2 linked regions of the Stegostoma tigrinum genome follow. The protein of the gene in region 1 interacts with the protein of each later gene in a pairwise test. Links are inferred from orthologs where the notes say so. Each region holds a gene or a part of one and is shown in the gene's direction. Other genes may lie near its edges.

Region 1 (7,657 bases):
TGGAAGTATAAACTTCACAGACAAAAATGACCTTCCTCATGTTATATTTTTTCATTCGAGTTTTTGTACATGTGGCATTCACAACTGCCCAATCAATTAAAAACTAGATACAAAAGACCTAATTTGCAGTCAATGGATTCTTACCATTTGTGATGGTCATTTTGTGACTTTTGAGCTGTGAATCATATTGGCAAACTTATTGGACAGCTTTTCCCAGCATTATTTAAATGCAAATATGTAAACTTTATTGAAGTCTTGTTTGTTTTATTGCCAACAGGTTCTCAATTTTTCACTTTTGGAGCTGTTCCTTCCAGATTGCATATTTTGTTTTGTGTTCCTATATAATTCAATTCCATAGTACCTCTTTGCCTCCTAAGCTCTACATTTTCTCTTATTATGCACACCTCTGCTCTCTATGAATTGATGCATATCTCTTTCCTAAATGCAAATATTCCCTTCCCCATGGAGTCTCACTGGTGTTAAGGTTGTTCTTTGTTTCTTTAGTGAAATCATCAACCCCCATGGCAACTTGATTTTACAGTGCATAACAGTGTGTCTCACTGGTTTTCACCATATAGTACAGTGGTATAAAAACAACCTGATAATGACTTTCCCAGATGCTGATAATGATGAAGTAAACAAGTTTGTTTTTATACAGCAGCAATTTCTGTTGTTTATGTATTTAAAATTCATTAATTTTGTAATTGATGCAATATTCAATTGTTCGTTACTCATTGATTAGAATAGCAGCTGAAGCCTTTTATCTTCTATTAAGCAAAATTCGCTTTCCACATCATCATCAGTGTTGATTAACATGAATGAATTGTACAACAGTGCTGTGCATGAAATTGTAAATCTTCTAGAGATTTGCTGCCGCAATGAGGACAATTAAAGTAATATCAATTTGCTACAGTATCAATTTATTTTATTAACACTCCTTGTTCTCTTGTTCTGACTCAGAATGGATTGAAGGTCTACTCTTTCAATTCAAATGATTAGATAATTCAATTATTGCACTGAAAAATAAATTACTTTGACTTATCAGTAGACTGTATCAGAATCTAAATTATATTGAATCAAACATTAGTGTAGTGATTGTAATGAGGTCAGTCAGGAGGACCTCATAGAATATGAGTTCTCTGATTGGGGCTGTTAACCTGGTCCAATCAGGGAACCCTGGATGACAGACAGAAACAAGAGTATCAGAGGTATTGTTCACTTTGAGATCTGGCTCTGAGGAAGTCAACCCAGTGTCAGGTACTGCGCACGTGTAAATAAAGGGGGCTTGGTGAAGGGATACTAGCCTCTGTGGAGTTACTTCAATTAGTTTCTCACTTATAAACTGTACTCGGAATATGTTTCCACATGTATACTGACAACACCCATCTCCATTACATATATCCTCGCTCAGCTCTTTCATGGTTTCTTAATGAACTTCAAGCTAAATAACAGGAATCTCAAAACCATTGTCTTCATTGTCTATTCTTTAGCTACGAAGTCCATCAAAATTTGTACTTTTGACTAAGCTGTACTGCTACTCATAAGTTGGTATCTATATGATTCTAAGTTGAACTACTGATCACATAACCACTGCATCAAAACTGCCGTTTTTTTAAAATTGCTGCAAGGTTCCTCTTACTTCCGTTACCTCAGCTCATCTGCTGTTGAAACTATCATCCATGATTCTGTTATCTCTAGACTTAGTTGTCCCAAGGACTTATGGCTAGCCTCCTACTTTCCAAAAATGTTAGGTTATGTGAATCTCTTGCTGTCTGTATATTATACAAAGTCCTGTTCAACCACAACATTTTGAGTTTGTTGATCATGGTCTGAGAATGCATCAATTTTTAATTTTGCGCCTGTATTTTCAAATTCCTTTAGCGTCTTAGTATTCTCCTACCTGTTCTACAACTCTCTGAGATCTCTGTGCACTTCAATTGCTTTGCTTATCACTGATATTAATCATTCTACCACTGGTGGTTATGCTGTCAATTGCCTAAGACCTTAGGTCTGAAGTTCATTCACTAAACCAATTAGCCTCTTTCTCCATAGGGATGAATCCTAAAAGCAGTTTTTAATCATCCCTTGTACTACTTTCTTATCTGAGTTAGTATCAAGTTTTGTTTTGAAAGTCTTTTATTCCTGTGATGCACTTTGGAACCTTTACCACATTAAAGTACAGCACAGAAATTATATGTAACAGCTGAATCAGAACTGTTTCTGCAGGATTCTTTCTTGCATCCTTTGAAAATATTAAAAGTATTTAATTGATGACACTACCACAAGAATGATTGCTCTGGGCAGTAAATCTGTTTTGCAATCTAGATCTCATGTCAATTGCACATATGGTAAGAAAACAAAATATAAATTATAACCAGCACTTAACTGAATACATTTTATGTGAAAACTACTGGAAGCAGAAATATTATAGAATTTCATGAAAATAATTAAACAGAAGGTGGAGACTCCACAATCATTCCTTTCCTGGTATTTAATATATCTCAGTTGACCAGTGAACACAATGCTGAAATGCTTGCAATTGTCTTCAATGACAAGTGTTGAGCGAACGATGCATTCCAAGCTAAAACTGAAGGTCTCTGTATTGGAGATGCCAGTCTTTAGCCAATTCTATCAATTCTATTTACCCCACGTGATGTCAATGCAACTTCATAGACAAAGCATATGAGCCTTGGAAACATCCTCGCCATAGCACTGATGACTTGCACTTCAGGGCTAACCATACTCATAACTGAATTGTTCTACTAGAGCTAAAACACTGGAATCTAATCAACAAAGTGCAAATTATCCAGGTATGTCCTGTCCACAAAAGCAGGATAAATTCATTCTGATCAGATACCCCATCCCATTGATCTCCTGTCAAACATCAACAAAGTCCAACTCCAGGGGAGAGGCTGTGGAATTTTGAAATCAGTTGCTATATTGAAATATATGAGAGAATGGTAAAGTATGACTTGCCTTTTGCTTTTCTTACCTAAAGTCTAAATCTTGTGAATGATACAAAGAAATATCTTAAAATATCTCTGATTTCCTGAGTGTTCATCCATATTCCCACTTAATGCCATTCAAGGTATTACCTTCTTCAAATACAGATGTACTTAGAGAAAGATTTATTCCCTGCAATCTTAAATGGCTTCTTTACTTTGCAGATTAACCAGCTGTTAAGTCTTTATCTTGTCCTTTTCTTCTGTTTATCACCAAACTGGACAATTTAGATTTGAGGATTGTAAATAATCTGATTAGTCATAAAGTCATAACGCATGGAAACAGACCCTTTGGTCCAACTAGACCACACTGACCATATTCTCAATCTAAACTAGTCCCACTTGCCTGCGTTTGGACCATACCCCTCTAAACCTTTCCTATTCACATACTTATCCAAATGTCTTTTAGATGCTGTAACTGTACCTGCATCCACCACTTCCCCTGGCACTTCAAACCATGTACAAACCACCCTCTGCGTAAAAAGGTTGCCTCTCGTGTCCTTTTTAAAACTTTCTACTCTCACCTTAAAATATGCCCCCCAGTTTTGAACTTCCCACTGTCAGGGAAAGATCCTTGCTATTCACCATACCTTCTTTCATTTTGGTTTGTCCAGAGTATAAATTTACATTATATTTTAACACTGTGCCATTTTTCTATGCTTCATCCCTTGAAAACACAGATTACTCTAATTAACTTCTTCATTACTACATAAGGTATCTCAGCCAGAGTGTTGGGTACATTTCTGGGTGCCACATTATTGATGCATTGTGGAGAGAGTACAGAAGCTGTTTACAAGAACAGTTCCACAGATGAGGAACTTCAGTTAGATTGGAAAGGTTGGGACTATTCTCCCTGGACAAACAAGGCTAACATGAACTCTGACAGCAGTTTACAAAATCATGAGCAGGCTGGATAGAATCGAAAGGAAGAAACTGTTCCCAAATGTAAAAGGAACAAAAACTAAAGGACATAGATTTAAAATGATAAGTGAAAGAAGTAAGGATAATTTTATTTCACTCAATGAGTAATTAGAATCTGAATGCACTGTCTAGAAGTATGGTGGACGCATGTTCAATTGAGGCATTTTGGATAAAAGATAACGTGCAAGAATATGGGGCGGGGTGTGGCGAAGCCGGACATTGGAATTGGGCAATGATGCTCATTTAACCAGCAGGGATAGGTATAATGGGCTGAATGGCTTCCTTCTGCTCTGGGACACTCGTGATTATTTGTTCCGACATCCACCTTCTCAAACCAGTGTTTTCATTGTCGTCTCCTCTATGTTGAGCCCGATTTAGTGGGTCAGAGTGGGGAGTCCAGCCTGACCGGCTGAGAGTTTCCTGCATTTCCTGTCTGTATTTCGGAATTCTGGTACCTTTTCTCTCGTATTCTTCTCTGATGCCGGGTCGGCTGCGCTATCATTTGGCAATAAACTCTTGGAACTCATCTGCAAGGAAGTTGGGCGATTAATTGAGGACCAGCTCGAGGAGATTTGTTGAAACGCTGGTACTTTGCGATTGTTTATTGCCAGCTCTCTCTGTATAAGGTCCCTGTAATCTCCACCAGTGTCCGGGTTTTTTTTAAAGACGAGAGCAGAAGCGTCAGCAGGTCCGATGGCTGGAGGGAGGGCTGCGAGCTTGCACTGGGTTAAAAATAGTGTATCGTCCTGCAGTCTTTGCTCGCCCAGCTTCTGCTCACTTCGCTATCAATGTCTGCCCTGAACAGCATTCTGGGTTAGGAATGTCAACATGGCTGCAGACATCGGAGAACTGCTGGTGCCGTACATGCCAACCATCCGAGTCCCTAGATCAGGGGACAGGGTTTACAAGAGCGAATGCGCCTTCTCCTTTGACTCCCCTGTAAGTAGGCAGGCTGCCCTTTTGGGAGGGGGATCGCGCACACGGAAACTTTCTCGCTGGAAGTTTTCCACTGACACGTGAATGACTGCACAAACTAACGATGCTCCTCTGGATTTAGGAACCTAACTGATAGCGACAGGCTGTCGACAGTGTGGCAGTTCTGGACTTTGTTAAACGAAACAGAGAGAGACCGCAGCAACTCAGCAACCTAATGGGGCCAGAATGTAACAGAAAGCAAACAAAAAGTGTGTGGGGCTTGACATGTCAGTGGGCGTGTGATCCCGATCATTTAAACAGAACTAAGGAGGAAAGTCTTACAAAGCAAAGCGTCAGGAGTCAGCTAGTATTATGATTTGTCAGCTTTATTTGAACGAGTAACGTTCAATTTCAAAAAGCACTTTAAAAGGCAAGTTAAAAGTAAGGGACTTCTTAAATATGTTTTTAAAGAGTTATGGAAAGGAAGAGAATTAAAGTCAAAGGTGAAGGAAGATACTTTTTAAAATAACTTTTTAAAAAACTTTTGAAAATTCAAAAAGATGGCACATAGAAATGCTACTTTTGTTTTATCAAAATTAAATACAAATGTTAAAGTATAGTAAAAGGTGACTCAGCTGTTTGGCGTGCATCAACAGTGCCTGAGACAAGTTATTTATATACGGAGAGTTTGGGGGTCGCGGTATCGTATTTCTTTATTAATACACTGAAGGTTGTGTACTTCTTAGTTTAAAAAAACAATAAATTAATGTATTTACCAATTATTGATTTTGTGGTAGTGGTAATTTCGAAAATATTCTTAGTTAATCCTATGTTTCTTTTATTTGATATGTAATGTGATCACGGTGAAAATATAGAACGTGTGTTGCCCGCCATCAAGTGGTGAACGGGTATATGGAGCGCCTTCCCATCCCGGTGTAAAATCCAAGCCAGACCTTGTCATGGTTTGTTATAGTACTGTTTGAGTAGTTTTTATTTGCTGTTTCCTCTGAAGGCACAGAATTTTTTTTTTCATTATTTGTTCTTAAGACCAAACAAGTAGTCAGGAAAAACCTTCTAACTAGATACAAAAACAGAAATTGGTGGAAAAGCTCAGTAGGTGTGGCAACATCTGCGCAGAGTAACCAGAGTTAATGTTTTGGGCCCAGTAACCCTTCCTCAGAAGTGAGAGGGTGTAAATTTAACTTTAACTTTGTGTAAGTTATAATTCCAACCAACTGAGGGAGATCTGACAAAGGGTCACTGGACTCAAAATGTTAATTCTGATTTCTATCCACAGATGCTGCCAGACCTGCTGAGCTTCTCCTAGTAATTTCTGATTTTACAGCATCCACGGTTCTCACTATTTAGTTAAAAGGAAAACCAAGAGAATATGAAACTTGCTACCACAAAGGAATAGGTTAATGAAATATTGCACATAGATTTGAAAGAATTATTAATTGAGGAAATGTGTAAGTGTTTGGATTATTTAAAGTAGGAGGAAGTTCATACATTAACAATAATAACTTGCAGAAATGAAACTCCTTCAACAAAGTAAAACACCGTAATGTACAGGACAGAAGAGTTATTGAACAAAGTTTGATGCTGAGATATGTAGGGAAATGCTGGAGTAATTAACCAAAGGCATGGCCATGTATTTACAGACTCTCTTATAAAAGGGAGCGAGGCAAAGAAATTTGTGGAGGGAATTCTCAAACTTGGGTCTAGTTGACCAAAGACCTGGTTGTCAATAGCAGGCCAAATCAAAAAATGGAATTTGAGGTGTGTAGAGATCTTTAAAGTTTCATGGATTGCAAATTTAGTAGTTTTCTTTGTGTAAATCCTAATTCCAAGCAAAAAAAAATGCTAAAAAACTGAGGGCAAACTACATGAATTTAATGTATATTCCTGTCTTTACAGTGGGAGCTCATCAATTCTAAACTTTCATTAGATTTGTGTAAAAATCTCTACACCAGAGATAAAATATATTAAGGTTTTTTTTGCCCAAAGTGACCAATTTACACAATTTCGATTATAATATAGTGTAGGAACTTTGTAATGGAAAAACATTGGCACAGAATGTGGCACCAAGAAGTAATGTTTGGAAGATAGTTGATTACTTTGTCATAGAGTCATACAGCACAGAAACAGACCCTTTGGTCCAACCAGTTCGTGACCAGCATATACTCTTATTAAACTAGACCCACCTGGCAATTCCTGGCACATATCCCTCCAAATCTGTCCTATATGTATACCTTTCCAAATGTCCTTTTAAATGTTGTAATTGTCTCCATATCTGCCACTTCAGGATGTTCATTCCACATGCAAACCAACCTCTGTGTTTAAAAAAACAAATGCCTTTCATGTCTTTTTCTAAATAGCTCACCTCCTCTGACCTTAAAAATGTGCCCACTAGTCTTGAAATCCCCTATCTGAGAGTAAAGGCAACTATCGTTAACTCTATGAATGCAATACAGCTCAAGAACAGGCCCTTTAGCCCACCAAGCCTGTGTCGATTCTTATTCCTTATTTAAACCTACTAATTATTGCCCATCGGCAGTTTGAGTCCATCTGTTAGCCTCCCATTCGTATGTCTATCAAGATGCACCTTGAATGTTGCTAATGTGCCTGCTTCCACCACCTCCACTGCTAGTGCATTCCAGGCACCCACCACTTGTGTGAAGATTTTTTCCCGCACTTCTCCCCTAAACTTTCCCCCTCTCATCTTGAACCTGTGCCTTGTTGTTGTTGACTTTTCCATTCTGAGGGAAAAAGCCTATTACTACCTATGACCACCCTATCTATGCCCCTCATAATTTTGT
Region 2 (7,530 bases), on another chromosome or scaffold:
CAAATACAGTCAACACAGCTTTGTGAGGGGTAGGTCATGCCTTACAAACCTTATTGAGTTTTTTGAGGATGTGACTAGAAAAGTTGATGAGGGTCGAGCTGTGGATGTGGTGTATATGGACTTCAGTAAGGCATTTGATAAGGTTCCCCATGGTAGGCTCATTCAGAAGGTCAGGAGGAATGGGATACAGGGGAACTTAGCTGCTTGGATACAGAATTGGCTGGCCAACAGAAGACAGCGAGTGGTAGTAGAAGGAAAATATTCTGCCTGGAAGTCAGTGGTGAGTGGAGTTCCACAGGGCTCTGTCCTTGGGCCTCTACTGTTTGTAATTTTTATTAATGACTTGGACGAGGGGATTGAAGGATGGGTCAGCAAGTTTGCAGACGACACAAAGGTCGGAGGTGTCGTTGACAGTGTAGAGGGCTGTTGTAGGCTGCAGCGGGACATTGACAGGATGCAGAGATGGGCTGAGAGGTGGCAGATGGAGTTCAACCTGGATAAATGCGAGGTGATGCATTTTGGAAGGTCGAATTTGAAAGCTGAGTACAGGATTAAGGATAGGATTCTTGGCAGCGTGGAGGAACAGAGGGATCTTGGTGTGCAGATACATAGATCCCTTAAAATGGCCACCCAAGTGGACAGGGTTGTTAAGAAAGCATATGGTGTTTTGGCTTTCATTAACAGGGGGATTGAGTTTAAGAGTCGTGAGATCTTGTTGCAGCTCTATAAAACTTTGGTTAGACCGCACTTGGAATACTGCATCCAGTTCTGGGCGCCCTATTATAGGAAAGATGTGGATGCTTTGGAGAGGGTTCAGAGGAGGTTTACCAGGATGCTGCCTGGACTGAAGGGCTTATCTTATGAAGAGAGGTTGACTGAGCTCGGTCTCTTTTCATTGGAGAAAAGGAGGAGGAGAGGGGACCTAATTGAGGTATACAAGATAATGAGAGGCATAGATAGAGTTGATAGCCAGAGACTATTTCCCAGGGCAGAAATGGCTAGCACGAGGGGTCATAGTTTTAAGCTGTTTGGAGGAAAGTATAGAGGGGATGTCAGAGGCAGGTTCTTTACGCAGAGAGTTGTGGGAGCATGGAATGCGTTGCCAGCAGCAGTTGTGGAAGCAAGGTCATTGGGGTCATTTAAGAGACTGCTGGACATGTATATGGTCACAGAAATTTGAGGGTGCATACATGAGGATCAATGGTCGGCACAACATTGTGGGCTGAAGGGCCTGTTCTGTGCTGTTCTATGTTCTATGTTCTATGTTCTAATTGATTCAATCTCTCCTCAGACGTCAGTCCTGCCGCCCCAGGAATCAATTAGGTGAACCTTCACCACACTCTATTCAGGACATTATAGTCTTTGTCAACATAGTTGTCCGGCTTTAGTAACAGAGTAATCCAGCTCATAGAGCCGTAGAGCCATACAGCATGGAAACAGATTCTTCAATCCAACCAGTCAATGCCAACCATAATCCCAAACTAAACTAGCTGTATCTGCCAGCTTCCAGCCCATATCCCTCCAAACCTTTCCTATTCAAGTACTTATCAAAATGTCTTTTAAATGTTATAATTGTACCTGCGTCCACCACTTGATGCTGCTTCACTGTGATGTAGTGCCTCCTGAACTAATCCAGTTTTAATTCTGTTATTTCACCTACAACACCATTCCAAACATTACTCACTGTATGATTAGGCGCTTCCCGACTTTCATGCTGAATTAATATTTTATCAAATTAGTCTCTGTTACAATGTTTCACTTGCTTGGGAAGTTTTCAGATAATTTTCATTTGTGGTCCAATGGCTGTGAGCAGGAAAGGTGCTTCGGTGATAATTATCCACACAGTTTTTCAAAACTTGCTGCTATGCCAATCAAGTCCAGTGAGAGGTGATCGTTCATGATATTATGTTGTGCACATCAAGCATTCTGCCAACATTCTCCAGGATACATTGTTGAGCGCACATTAAACTGATAATGTTTTTGCCAATTTACTATTGACACGCTCCTAATGGCTGGTTAAATGCATTGAATATTATTTTGACCCTCTACACGTCTGCCTGAATGTGTCACATTACACTGATTGTCTGCATGGTAACAATGATTGTGCAGATATGTTGTTAGCCACGATTGGATCTGCAGTATATCACTTCTCATTCAAAACGTTATGATCTGCAGTTGTGCCATAATGAATTGCAGTGACCAAGAAATTTGAGTTCAAAACAGGTTTGAGAACCAAGACAAATTTGGTTTCGGGCCTAATTTGAATAACACTAATGAGCTGCATAGGTTTAAGGTGAGAGGGGAAAGATTTAAAAGAGATCTAAGGCACTTTTTTCACACAGTATGGATGCATGTATGGAATGTGCTGCCAGAGAAAGTGGTACAGGCTGATACAATTACAACTTTTAAGAAGTAGCTGGATGGGTATATGGAAGGGCAAGTTATTGCAGCTGCAATATAAAATGATGTTACATTTGTCAAGTCATGCATAAGCAATTTCAGAAACTGAACACTGATGGAGTATGCCTTTATGGGTAAGGAAATTCATGAGTTTAGTAGAAAATCTTCATTATTAGCTCATTTATTTTGGGATATCTAAATTATGGAGTTAGGTCTCAGGTCAGCCATGATCTCATTCAATGGTGGAACAGGCTTGAGGGGCTGAATGGCCTACTCCTGTCCCTATATAGGATAGGTCATTGATAAAGCAGCTGAAGACGGTTGGTCCTACGATACTGGTTGACAAACATATAGCTCTGCATCGTCACTTCACAGATTGGCTCCTCATTTTTAGGTAGGTGTGGTGCTGCTCCAAGCGGAGCCTGGAGAACATCCAAAAGCAAATTCAAATCAACAGCTGTGTCTCATAAATAGTTCAGAACAAAGCAATGCTTTGAATTTCCACAGTGGCTCAACAATTAATACCACTACTACTTCACAGCTACTGGGGACTTGGGTTCAAGTCTGCTTTTAGGTAGCTGCCTGTGTAGAGTTTGCATGTTCTCCCTGTTTCTGCAAGGGTTTCCTCCCATGGTCCAAAGATGTGCAGGTTAGGTGACATGACCATGCTAAATCAGCCCATAGTGTGTAGGGCAGAGTCATGTGGTGGGATGCTTTTCAGAGGGTTGGTGTGGACCTAATGGGCCAAATGGCCTGCTTTCACACTGTAGCAATTCCTTAAAAAAAGAATTATTTGTCATAGTAAGAATACCCCATGTGTCTGTTTAAAATTGAAATACTTCTTCAAATTTTTAATTTTGTTTCAAACCAACATGCAGATAAGGTAAAAGTTAAAATTGCCATTGCCTTATCAGACCATGGATGGCTTGTGGTTTAACCTGTGGGTCACTGTGCCTTCACATGATGGGAGAGGTCGAGACAGAGAGTCTTTCACAGTAACTTCAGCCCATGCAGGAATTGAACCCACACCTCTGGTATCACTCTGCAATGCAAGCCAGCTAACTGATCCCCCATCCCGTCCCAAATGCATAGAGAATTGAAAAGAAACAAAAACAGCAAAAGCTGAACAAACTCAGCATGTCTGATAGACTCTGTGGAGTGAAAGCAAAGTTAACACTTAAAATCCAGTGACCTTTCTTCAGAAAACTGAAAAAACTGCAAATGTCGAAAATCAGAAACAAAAACAGAAATTGTTCTGGAATTGCTAAGAACTGAGGAAGGGTCTCTTGCCCCAAAATGTTAACTCTGATTTCTCTCCACAATTGTTGTCAGACCAGCTGACTTTTACCAGTAATTTGTTTCTGTTTGTGACCCTTCTTCAGAACTGTTCTCAAGCGCTGAAACATTAACTCTGCATTCTCTCCACAGATGCTGACAGAGTTTCTCCAGCAATTTCTGATTTTGTTTCAGATATTCAGTCTCCACAGATTTTTGTTTTATTTGAATGATGTTAGGAGCTATTTCATCTCTTTATCTGTAAAGCAAAAAGCGACAGTGTGTTCTGTTTCATCACGGAAAAAAATACAAGCCAAGCACAGCATTTCTTTGTTATTTTATGCTTTGACTGGGGTCGAAGTTCGAGAAGGCTTGGACAGAGCTGTCAGGACTGTCAGCAGTCATTGTCATGATCCCAAGCTATTTTAATAAAACACAATTTACATATTGCTGTATTACTATTTTGGGAGCTGTGAATTTGGCAAAAGTTATTCTATTTGATGTTTTTGTTTCAACTTGGTTAAAGAACTTTATTGCTAAATGTCAGTGTCCAGAGAAGTAGCTGTTTTGAGAGTGAGTGCTGACAGGTGTAAATTTGGAGAGAAAGAAGGAGATAGGCAGCAGCTCTGGCAGTCAGTGTCATTTAGTGTCAGTTTCATATAAGGCAATAATGGTGCACTGCAAACATAGCAACAGCTGACATACTGCTGCTAAAAGCATCATCAAACCTACCAATCCAATCCGAGACAATGTCAGACATGCAGAAACAGTAGGATGTGTTCCAATCAACTGGGTCATAGCCTCAGACCAAGCCGGGCAGAAAAAGCAAGAAGAGCAGCTGGGAGGCAGCTTCATTTCTGAACCTAACTTTAATAGTTAGCACTGATCTCGGAAACTTTCGGTCATGACCACTTCCATGGACTACAACCTTTTGGCCAAAGACCGGCAAACCATGGACAACTTGGAAAAGCAACTGATTTGCCCAATCTGTCTAGAAATGTTTTCCAAACCCGTTGTTATTCTCCCATGTCAGCATAACTTGTGCCGGAAGTGTGCGAGTGACATGTTCCAGGTAAGTTAAGAGCCATGTATGGGTCATGTGTGAGAGTGAGAAAGCACAAAGTGAATTCATTTGTAGAGTAGTGATCACAAAGCAAGTTTTGTACTCCTGATCTAAAGGACAGAATGGCCTCCCTCATCAGAAAACAGGTCACGATCATTTACCCCAGCAAGGGCTAGAGTGGCATAAGGTTTTAACTGATATTCTATGCAACATTATTTTCGTTCCACAACTTTTTCTAAGGAATTTTGTGGGAAAATGCCTTTCATGTGAACATAGCTTAAGGAGGTTGTTTTAGAGAAATAGAGTATTAAGCAACGTGCTTGAGCAATTTAGGCCTTTATGGAGACATAGAAACACAAGTAGGCCGTTCAGCCCCTCAAGCCTGTTCCACCAGTCAATGAGTTCCTAACTGATCCTAACTCCATATAAAAACTGACAAAAGGCTGCAGACACTGTAAATCGGAAACAAGCACAGAAATTGCTGGAAAAACTCAGCGGGTCCAGCAGCATCTTTGAAGAGAAATCAGAGTTAATGTTTCAGGTCTGATAATCAGTTCTGAGGAAGGGTCACCAGACCTGAAACAGTACCCCTGATTTCCCTTCTCAGAAGCTGCCAAACCTGCTGGGCTTTTCCAGCAATTGCTGTGTTTGTCCCTAACTCCATATACCTGCCTTTGGCCCATATCTTTAAATACCCTTGTTTAACAAAAGTTTATTTATCTCAGATTTAAAATTAACAAATGATCCAATATCCACTAAAGTTTGCAGATGAGAATTCCAAATATCTACCAACCTTTGCATGTAAAAATGCTTCCTAGCGTCTCTCCTGAATGATTTGGCCCCAACTCTTAGACTATGACCCTAGTTCTAGTATCGCCTATCAATGGGAGTAGTTTATCTTTATCTCCTCTGTCCTTTCCTGTTAATATCTGAAAACTTTGATTAGATCACCCTTTAACTTCTAAATTCTAGAGAAAACAGGTATAATTTATATAATTTCTCCTCATAACTTAATCCCCAAAGTCCAGGTATCATTCTTGGAAACTTACATTGTGCTCCCTCCAAGGTTTAATATATGCTTCCTAAGGAATGAGGCCCAGATCTGCTCACAGAACTCAAAGTGATTTCTTCGGGATCTGTGCTTCAGCCACTTTGCGATTTGGTTATTCGTTATTCCTCAATGTGTCTCGTCTTGTACCTTTCATAAATTTCAGGTCATCGAAAACTCCACTGTCTATGTTCTTATTCAGACTGGTCACCCATTACCCCATACATACTGCTGGCTCCCACTTAAGCAGTATCTTGATTTAAAATTTCTCAGCCTTGATTTCAAATCTCTCCATGCCTTACCTCTCCCCAGTTCTATAATCTGCGGGAAAAAAAATCTGGCTCATTAATTTCTTGTTCAAGGAAGGAAGCTGCCATCCTGACCTGGTACGGTCTACATGTGACTCCAGACCCACAGCTATTTGGTTGTTTTCTGGGCAGCTAGGGATGGGCAAGAAATACGATGGCTTAGGAGGTGATCCTTGCATCCTGTGGATGAATGCAATGTTTCCTGGCCGACAAATTCTGGAATTCTTGCCCTACTTTTGTCTGTTGAAGATGCTTTGTAAACCCTATGTCTCTTTCTCTGATGTTCCCTTACACAGTTCGTTTTGTTACATAACGCACTCTTGAAGGGTCTTGGAATAATTAACATGAAAACATATGACACAGTATTATTGTAAGCTATTTATGTTTTGAAATTGTTTATCCATTTTCCTATGGGTCGATACCACATACTGTACTCTGTCTTACTACACACCACATTCTAAATGCTGATCCAAAGGTTCCTCGGGACATGACCCTAACATTTCGAATGAGACTGAATTTCCTGCCAGAATTCCAGGCTCAGTGGAAGTACAGACTTTATTACACGTTAATCCCTGATACTGTTGACCCAGGCAGACAGAAACCCCATTGCCATTGGGTCAGCAGGCTGACGACCAATCACCATCAGCCTTGTGTGTGATGGCACATGTCCAATTTTTCTGGTGCAGAAGGAGTGGAGTCACATCTATGTCTGGGAGCCCACCCATTGGAAGCTATTTCCTCCCAGTGAAGACTAATAAAATTCAACTATCTGCAATTACTAACTGCCAAAATGATCGAATCCCAAAAGAGCTGATGGGATGAAAACTCTTGGCATGGCATTTCCCTGCCTCACCTATACATCTCAATACAATTTGTCTTAAAAGCAATTTCATCCATTGTGAAGCAAGTTATAGCCCTTTGAAAATGTCAGGCACAGTTGGCCGTTCACTATTGTGGGTGAAGGTTAATTACAGTAACTATGATCAGAAAACAACAAAACCTCTGAGAAACTTTGTCACCACCGTGCAGCCCATGGCATATTTCACTTTACCTCTGAGTTTTATGCAAAACCTATTTCCACCTCCATCATAAGGCTCTGAGACCCTTTCACTTACTCCCAGAAACACCTTCACCCATACAACTGACCTAACCCCAGTCACACCATCGCCCATACAATTCACTCACCCCCAGTCACACCATCCTTATTAGAGGTCACACCCCCAGGGACACCATCCTTGATATGGCTTACAGTACTGCCATCAAACAAACACAGATGTTACATGAAGAATGCTGGGCAGCTGTTTAAATCAACATTATTGCTGTAATTCTCAATATAATTAATATATGCACATTTTTGTGTCACGTTCACTCTCTTTATCTTTTTGTATTTAGTTTTACTGTTATGTACTATTCTATCATAATATAACTACTCTCAG

The links. The genes of interacting proteins can lie anywhere in the genome.
Region 2: the proteins of usp13 (region 1) and trim55a interact in a two-hybrid assay, tested with the Homo sapiens proteins (2 studies listed by BioGRID and IntAct). The link is inferred for Stegostoma tigrinum from reciprocal best matches to the Homo sapiens genes USP13 and TRIM55.

The regions. Positions count from the first base shown.
Region 1 is NC_081367.1:37,019,810-37,027,466, forward strand, and holds the start of usp13 (ubiquitin carboxyl-terminal hydrolase 13), read left to right. Parts: upstream 1-4,602; 5' UTR 4,603-4,751; coding exon 4,752-4,862; intron 4,863-7,657. UniProt on the Homo sapiens protein: Deubiquitinase that mediates deubiquitination of target proteins such as BECN1, MITF, SKP2 and USP10 and is involved in various processes such as autophagy, endoplasmic reticulum-associated degradation (ERAD), cell cycle progression or DNA damage response.
Region 2 is NC_081358.1:31,972,675-31,980,204, reverse strand, and holds the start of trim55a (tripartite motif-containing protein 55a), read left to right. Parts: upstream 1-4,478; 5' UTR 4,479-4,579; coding exon 4,580-4,747; intron 4,748-7,530. UniProt on the Homo sapiens protein: E3 ubiquitin ligase that plays an important role in regulating cardiac development and contractility, muscle growth, metabolism, and fiber-type differentiation.